Macaca fascicularis: one gene and its partner. The protein of the gene in region 1 purifies or fractionates together with the protein of each later gene. This does not show direct contact. Links are inferred from orthologs where the notes say so. Each region holds a gene or a part of one and is shown in the gene's direction. Other genes may lie near its edges.

Region 1 (4,286 bases):
ACCTTTCCGCAGAACCTACCAGTGCTTCAGTGAGGTCTTGGCAGCTTTGGGTTTTTGGAGCCTCTCTATTTGTCCATTGCTGCGTGGACGGCTTTCAGAAAGAATGATCGCTTTGAGGGCAATTGTACCCTGCTTTCCTGTGCAAATTCCAGTGGCTGGAGTTTGAGGCCCCTAGCAGATAACCCTTCTGCCCCTGCCCTCATGAGTCTACATACAAGAAATACATCTCTAAAGAGGTAATAAGCCTTTCCCGTGTGCATGTTATAGATCTTTTAACCTTATATATATACAGATGGTCCATCACTTACCGTGGCTTCACTTACGATGTTTTGACTTCATGATGGGTTCACTGGGGCCCGACCCCGACTTTTTTTCTTTTCTTTTTCTTTTCTTTTTCTTTTAAGAGGGAGTCTTGCTCTTGTCGATTTCTGCTTACTGCAACCTCTACCTCCTGGGTTTGTTATTTTTCTGCCTCAGCCTCCTGAGTAGCTGGGATTACAGGCGCGGGCCACCACGCCCGGCTAATTTTTGTACTTTTAGTAGAGAGGGGGTTTCATCATGTTGGTCAGGCTGGTCTCGTACTCCTGACCTCAGGTGATCTGCCTGCTGTGAGCCACCGTGCCCGGCCTGACCCCTTCTTAAGTAGAGAAATATCTGTATCTGCATGCCCACAGGGAAGCTCCTAATTACACCACGTGCCACATCCAAGCCATAGACCCGTGATGTGAGGACACTGGATCCAAGAAATACAATAGCATTAAGAAAGAAAAAATGCTGCCATGGATATTACCAAACGCCAAATGACTCTAAGACGTATGCTAATTGCAGGGACCTTAAAATCGCAAATAAAAAGGCGCCTGTAGGTCGGGCGGTGGCTCACACCTGTAATCCCAGAACTTTAGGAGGCTGAGGCGGGCGGATCACCAGAGATCAGGAGTTCGAGACCAGACAGGCCAACATGGCGGAACACCATCGCTACTAAAATATAAAAATTAGCCAGGCGTGATGGCAGGCACCTGTAATCCCAGCTACTCCGGAGGCTGAGGCTGGAGAATCGCTTGAACCCAGGAGGCGGAGCTTGCAGTGAACCGAGATAGCGCCACGGCACTCCAGCCTGGACCACAGAATGAGACTCCGTCTCAGGGAAAAAAAAAAAAAAAAAAAAAAAGCGAGCGCGTGATGTCTGGAGCAGGTGCGCGGTTGCGACGGCCGCTGCGGGAGGCTTGGGCCGGCCCGGTTTCCCGCCACGCCGGCGCCCCGCTCGTGGCGCGGAGGCCGCTCTAAGTTTCGCTTTCCATTCAATGGGAAACGAAAGCTGGGCGGGGCGCAGCCGAGCGCGCGGCCAGACCAAGGCGCGGAACTTCGGCCGCAGCTGCGTCCCCGGCTCAGTCACGCCGTGGAACTCAGCAGCGGAGGCTGGACGCTTGCGTGGCGCTTGAGGCAAGTTTGGGGCTCATTTTGGAAGTTTTCTTTCTAGCGCAGACATCCAACTCTGCTCTTACGCCAGTCAGATAATTAAGGAAATAAGTAATGATTGTGCTCTGCAAATTATGATAGCGATCTGTATTTGCTACGTGCATATATTGGGCCAATGGATTTTTTTTTCTAAGCTAATATAGTTATTTGGACTTTTGGCATGACTTTGTGTTTAATTTAAAAAAAAAAAGAAATTACAGAAGTGTTGTAAGCTTGTAAAAAAAATTCAAACAATGCAGACAAATGTGTCTCTCAATCTTCCACTCAGTATCATTTTTGTTTGTACCTTATCAGAAATGTTTCTATGTACAAGTCTTTAAAATCGTTTCGAACTTGCTTTGTCCACTGAGTATATTATGGACATCTTTTCATGGCAGGACATATAGATGTGTTAATGGCATTAAAAATAAAACAAAAAACTGACGTGGCCTGGCACGGTGGCTCACGCCTGTAATCCCAGCGCTTTGGGAGATCGAGGCGGGCAGATCAACTGAGGTCAGGAGTTCCAGACCGACGTGGAGAAACCCCGTCTCTACTAAAAATACAAAATTAGCCGGGAGTGGTGGCACGTGCCTGTAATCCCAGCCACTCGGGAGGCTGAGGCAAGAGAATCGCTTGAACCCCGGAAGAGGAGGCTGCGGTGAGCCAAGATCGCACCATTGCACTCCAGCCTGGGCGACAGAGCGAAACTCTGTCTCAAACGAACAAAAAAACCTGATACATAGTATGGGAAGTACATTGTTTAAACAATGCATGGAGATTTAGGTTGTTTCCAGTTTTTACTGGCATAGATACAGCAATGAATATCATTTTATGTATACATTCATACAAATATATTGGTGGAAAATTCCTAGAAGTGGAATGGCTGGGTCAGTGGGCATTCATATTGAGAAATTGGAAGGATGTTGTCAAAGTCTGCAAATCAGAATATTTTAGTCTTAACCTCTCTTCTTTCCCCCTTTTCCTTGGAAGAAAGCTAAATTTAGACTTTTTTTTTTTTTTTTTTTTGAGACGGAGTCTCGCTGTGTGGCCCAGGCTGGAGCGCAGTGGCGTGATCTAGGCTCACTGCAAGCTCCACCTTCCGGGTTCCCGCCATTCTCCTGCCTCAGCCTCCCAAGTAGCTGGGACTAGAGGCGCCCGCCACCACGCCCAGTTAATTTTTTTTTGTATTTTTAGTAGAGGCGGGGTTTCACCATGTTAGCCAGGATGGTCTTGATCTCCTGACTTCGTGATCCGCCCGCCTTGGCCTCTCAAAGTGCTGAGATTACAGGCTTGAGCCACTGCGCCCGGCCAAATTTAGACTTTAAATACAAAACTCTATTCTGAGACCCCTGAAAATCTGGGTTCAAAGTGTTTGAAAATTAAAGCAGAGGCTTTAATTTGTACTTATTTATGTATAATTTGTGTAAGTTATATTTGTATAAGTTGTTCCAGAAAAAAGGCAAATATTGAAAAGCATTTCATCTGACGTTTCTTTCTGGTATTGTACAGAGTTGGAGAGTGAATGCAGGTTATCTGATGTGTTCACAGGAACAAAACGGGAGGGAGAGTAACAGGTGCACGACTGCATCTTGATTTATCAAATAACCTGGTTTTGGACTGTTAAAAAATGTGTTGCACAGTTTTGACACTTTTACACAGTGATGGGCTTACAAAGGGGAAAATGCTTAACATAAACATAGTTTCCAAGAAGGTAAGTCCTGGTTCTTCCACATGAGCTGTTTTTTATTTTTATTTTTTTGAGAGACAGTAGTCCCAAAATTTCCCTATTATGTGGCTTTTCATCCAAAGTGTTGTAATCCGTGTGTTCTAACCCGCATATTACGATTACTCAAGAAATGCAAAATAGGCCGGGCGTGGTGGCTCACGCCTGTAATCCCAGCACTTTGGGAGGCCAAGGCGGGCGGAACACGAGGTCAGGAGATCAAGACCGCCTTGGCTAACACGGTGCAGACCCTGTCTACTAAAAATAAAAAATATTAGCCGAGCATGGGGCGGGCGCCTGTAGTCCCAGCTACTCAGGAGACTGAGTCAGGAGAATGACTTGAACCGGGGAGGCGGAGCTTTGCCGTGAGCCGAGATCGCGCCACTGCACTCCAGCCTGGGTGACAGAGCGAGACTCCGTCTCAAAAAAAAAAAAAAAAAAAAAAAAAAAAAAAAAAAAAAAAGAAATGCAAAATGATGTGAACACGTCATTGAGACTGCGGTCTACAATTGTGGTTGCCATGATGGGTTGGGTCGGAAGACGCTGAGGCTGCTGGAATCATGTTCCTGGAAGGTTAATTTTGTTCCTTTTAGGGCATCTAAATGTTGGAGCTGGCTTTCCTGGCAGAGTCCAGTTGTGAGTGGAGTGTTGGGTGGAGGCCCCGCCCTCCCCAGGTTTTCTGCAGCGTGTTCCTGGCTCTTCTGGGGCTTCTCTGAGGACCCTGATTGGTCCTGGGGCTACTTTAGTGGTGGGCCTGGGCCAGTTCCTTGGGTTGCTCTCCTCTCCTCGAAGCCTAAGGATAACATTTCGGGAAGATCATGAGAGAAGGTGAACCAGAAAAAAAAAAATTCAGGTAGGGCAGGAGCTAAGTTAGTTTAGTATTTGGGTTTTTTGTTTTGTTTTGTTTTGTTTTGAGACAGAGTCTTGCTCTTGTTGCCCAGGCTGGAGTGTAATAGCACTGTCTCGGCTCACTGCAACCCCTGCCTCCCGGGTTCAAGCGATTCTCCTGCCTCAGCCTCCCAAGTAGTTGGGATTACAGGCGCCCTCCACCGTGCCCAGCTAATTTTTTGTATTTTTAGTAGAGATGAGTTTTCGCCATGTTGGC
Region 2 (4,535 bases), on another chromosome or scaffold:
GCCACATGGCCCCTCTACCCAAGTTCTTGGTAAGCCTGGCTCTAAGGAATGCCCTGGAGGAAGCTGGTTGCCAGGCTGATGTTTGGGCTCTACAGCTACAGCTCTACCGCCAGGGTGGTGTGAATGCTACACAGGTCCTCATCCAGCATCTTCAAGGGCTCCAGACAGGAAGAAGCACAGAGAGGAACGTGTCAGTGGAAGCCCTGGCCTCTGCTCTGCAGCTGTTAGCCAGGGAGCAGCAAAGCACAGGAAGGGTCCGGCGCTCCCTCCCCACAGAGGACTGTGAGAATGAGAAGGAGCAAGGTATGCACAATGTCATCCAGCTGCTGCCAGGAGTGGGAACCTTCTACAACCTGGGCACAGCTTTGTATTATGCTACTCAAAACTGCCTGGGCAAGGCCAGGGAACGAGGCCGAGATGGGGCCATAGATCTGGGATATGACCTTCTGATGACCATGGCCGGGATGTCAGGGGGACCTATGGGTCTAGCGATCAGTGCTGCACTTAAACCTGCATTAAGGTCTGGGGTTCAGCAGTTGATCCAGTATTACCAAGATCGGAAAGACGCAAACATCTCTCAGCCAGAGACCACCAAGGAGGGTTTAAGGGCCATCTCAGATGTGAGTGACTTGGAAGAAACAACTACCCTGGCTTCTTTCATATCAGAAGTAGTAAGTTCAGCTCCCTACTGGGGGTGGGCCATAATCAAGAGCTATGACTTAGATCCTGGGGCTGGGAGTCTTGGGATATAAAAGAAGGTAGTAACCACAGAACTAATAAATCTAATATCCTGACAAGCTGTATACATGTCTTCAAAATTTTAAACTCCGATTTATTCAGGAGTAAGGCTGTACAGTAAAACGTAGGAACGTAAATGTTTGGGGGTTGAAGTCAGAGGGTTTGGTTTTGAATCTAGGCTCCACTTGTTAGAGCCTCCGTGATCACTGACTGGTAACTTCTTTCTTGAACTAAGATCAGTTTTTAAATTTCTAAAGGAGAGAATGATTTTAACTTCAATGAGTTGCCCTGTAAATTTTAAATGACACAATTAATCTAAAGTGCTTATCACAGTACTCTCAATAAATAGCTATTAGCCAGGTGCAGTGGCTCATGCCTGTAATCCCAGCACTGTGGGAGGCCGAGGCAGGAGGATCACCTGAGGTCAGGAGTTCAAGACCAGCCTGGGCAACATGGCGAAACTCCGTCTCTACAATAAACACAAAAAATTATCCTGGCGGAGTTATGCACGCTTGTAGTCCCAGCTACCTGGGAGGCTGAGGCGGGAGAATAACCTGAGCCCGGGTGGTCGAGGCTGCAGTGAGCCGAGGTCGCGCCACTGCACTCCAGCCTGGGTGATAAGAGCGAGACCACGTCTCAAAAAAAAAAAAAAAAAAAATACTGTTTTCATTACCTCAGCCCTCCTCTTCCTATCCCAAGGCGTCGAAATTCCGGTCCCACCCCTTCCCATGGAGCCCTTGGCGTCTACAGGCTCCTCAAGCTAGTTTCGGTTCCGTGGCTCACGAGCGGGTTCTCGAAAATCAGCTGTTTCAGTCTTGGGCCAGTCCACTAATTAGACTCCTCCCCTCGTAGAAAGTGCCTACTTGAACTTCTCCACCAATCGCTGGAGCTGCAGGTGTGGTTTCGGCTCAGCTTGTCCCGCCCCGCGGGGGGGTGTAGTTGCGGCGGCGCCAGTGAGTTCGCAGTCTGGGAAGGGCTTGACTGAGTGGCAGCCAGTGTCGGGGTGGCGACTGGGAATGGGGCCGCTCCGGACTTCCGCTGCCAACTACGAGGGGGCGGGTCCGAGGGTGTAGGCCGAAGTTGTAGGCGGGGCCTGAGGCTCTAGTACCCGAACTCCTTCTACGGACGGGAAGTCGCGACCAGAGCCAGTGGAGGGCGCGGAGACTGCAACCCTAATCAGGTACGGGCCCTGAGAGGGTGTGCTGAGGTAGGGGTGGGGGTGAGAGTGAGAGTTCCTCCCAGGGAAGGGCGACTGGCCCCAGGAGTTACGCCCTGGAGGGGGCAGCTTCTGTCCCCAGGTTGAAAGAGGAGCTGTCTGTCGCCTGCTCGGTTCTCGATCTTCTCCTGTCCAGCCTATCTCCCCAACCCCAATGCCCCTCCCCGAAAACTGCCCTGCAGCTTCCGAGACCCGGAATCTGGCATTGTTGGTTCGGTATCTGACGTTACTCTGCTCTGCATTATTTTTTATCTTCACCTAAAAACGATGTTCAAAGATAGATAAATCTAAAAACAAAGATAGATAAATCTATCGTCTTTATTTGTTTTGTTTAAAAGTATAAGCTACTGAAAGATGAAACATTGCCTAAGGTCACACACAAAATTCAGTTCATTTCAGAAAAGCTTCTTGAGTGCAAAATATGTGCTTAAGAGTGAGAGATAATGAGAAAAAATTGTTTTAGCTCTTAACCTCAGTGTTTGCAATCCATTCGGGGAGACCAGGTTTTTTGTTTTGTTTTCATATTTGAATCTTTGCTGACTTGCTCCTTTAATATCAGACACTTAAATCCTCAAGAATTGGGACCTCATTATTATTATTATTATTATTATTATTATTATTTTAAAGATGGAATCTCAGTATGTTGCCCAGGCTCGGTTTCAAACTCCTGACTGAGCTCAAGCCATCCTCCCGTCTTGTGGGCCTCACAAAGTGCTGGGATTACAGGCATGAGCCACCATGCCTGGCCACCTAATCATTTTTTTAACTTATATTTTTTTGTATCATAAAAGCAATACAGACACATAGTTTTAAAAATCAAGCACTACTAAAAGGGTTAAAATGAAAATAGCCCCTGCCCAATCCCTCCCTTCCCTTGTTCCTGCTGGAGGTAGAAGGGCAGCTGATGTTATTCATGTTAGTAGAAGACTATACCACCCCAAGCATTTCTTTTTACTTTGTAATAAAATCATGTGACCTTTTTAGACCACTAATGTGCATGAATTCTGTTTTGTTAGGCTCAGGCTGCAACAAGCTTAAGTTTCAGTTTCCTAAATAGACACCAGATGGCAGCGAGCAGGGAACAGTGGGGAGAAGGATGCAAGGCACAGCCTGCTTGGTGACAGGCAAAAGCCAATTCATTGTTGTTGTTTTGATTCAGAGACTGCACTCTGCCTCCCAGGCTGGATGTGATCTCCACTTACTGTAACCCCTGCCTCCTGGGTACAGGCCATTCTCCTGCCTCAGCCTTTTGAGTAGCTGGGATTACAGGTGCCCACCAACATGCCTGGCTAATTTTTTTGTATTTTTAGTAGAGATAGGATTTCACATTGGCCAGGCTGGTCTTGAACTCCTGACCTCAAGTGATCCTCCCGCCTCTTCCAAAGTGCTGGAATTACAGGCATGAGCCACTGTGCCCTGCCAAAACAAAAAAAACAAAAAAAATTTAAGTGAAGTTTCAGGATCTCACAAAGTTGATAACTTATATTCAAGATTCACAGGTCATAAACGTGTCATATTCTTAGGGACTGAGCAACCCGTTGCATAGCATTTAGATGTCTTCTAGCATGGAGCTCCTCCTTCCTATATGGAGGGCAGTTTATAGGGTGTACTTACCTAACCTCCAAAAAGATTTAGCTCCTAAAAAAGCTTCAGGTGGCCGGGCATGGTGGCTCACACCTCTAATCCCCGCACTTTGGGAGGCCAAGGTGGGCAGATCACCTGAGGTCAGAAGTTCCAGACCAGCCTGGATGACATGGTGAAACCCCATCTCTACTAAAAATACAAAAATTAGCAGGGCATGGTGGTGGGCGACTGTAGTCCCAGCTAGTCAGGAGGCTGAGCCAGGAGAATCCCTTCAACTCGGGAGGCAGAGTTTGCAGTGAGCCGAGATCATGTCACTGCACTCCAGCCTGGGTGACAGAGCAAGACTCCATCTCAAAAAAAAAAAAAAGCTTCAGGGTCAGCAGGGATCATGCTGTAATAAATACTTAACATCAACACTGATCTTTAAATGCTTATATTTGTTTAGCATAAACAAATATAAACAACAAACACATAAATGCAAAATAAATGAATTAGAGAGATAGATGAAATAAGATAGTGGAAACAGTAGTTTGTTAAAGCTGGATGGTGATCCTTGTACTAGTCACTCTGCTTTAGTGTGTGTTTGAAAATTACCATTAGGCTGGTTATGGTGGCTCATGCCTGTAATCCCAGCATTTTGGAAGGCTGAAGCAGGCAGATCACTTGAGCTCAGGAGTTTGAGATCTGCCTGGGCAACATGGCAAAATCCTATCTCTACAAAAAATTAGCTGGCGTGATAGCACACTCCTGTAGTCCCAGCTCCTTGAGGGGCTGAGGCAGAGAATCGCTTGAACCTGAGAGATCAAAGCTGAGCCACGATCATGCCACTGCACTCCAGCCTGGGTGACCAAGTGAGACCCTGTCTTAAAAAAAAAAAAAGAAAAGAAAATTCCCATTAAAGCACAAAGGCCCACTTACTGAAGCTATTAAAATACAGGTTGGGGCCGGCTGGGTGCGGTGGCTCACACCTGTAATCCCAGCACTTTGGAAGGCTGAG

What was found.
Region 2: the proteins of USP18 (region 1) and STAT2 purify together in Homo sapiens (affinity purification with western blotting; 6 studies listed by BioGRID and IntAct, with this or other methods). This does not show direct contact. The link is inferred for Macaca fascicularis from reciprocal best matches to the Homo sapiens genes USP18 and STAT2.

Annotation. Positions count from the first base shown.
Region 1 is NC_088384.1:34,043,781-34,048,066, reverse strand, and holds the start of USP18 (ubl carboxyl-terminal hydrolase 18), read left to right. Parts: upstream 1-1,344; 5' UTR 1,345-1,440; intron 1,441-4,286. UniProt on the Homo sapiens protein: Interferon-induced ISG15-specific protease that plays a crucial role for maintaining a proper balance of ISG15-conjugated proteins in cells. Regulates protein ISGylation by efficiently cleaving ISG15 conjugates linked via isopeptide bonds.
Region 2 is NC_088385.1:63,163,564-63,168,098, reverse strand, and holds the start of STAT2 (signal transducer and activator of transcription 2), read left to right. Parts: upstream 1-1,699; 5' UTR 1,700-1,918; intron 1,919-4,535. Other genes in the region: APOF (apolipoprotein F), read left to right, coding at 1-752. UniProt on the Homo sapiens protein: Signal transducer and activator of transcription that mediates signaling by type I interferons (IFN-alpha and IFN-beta).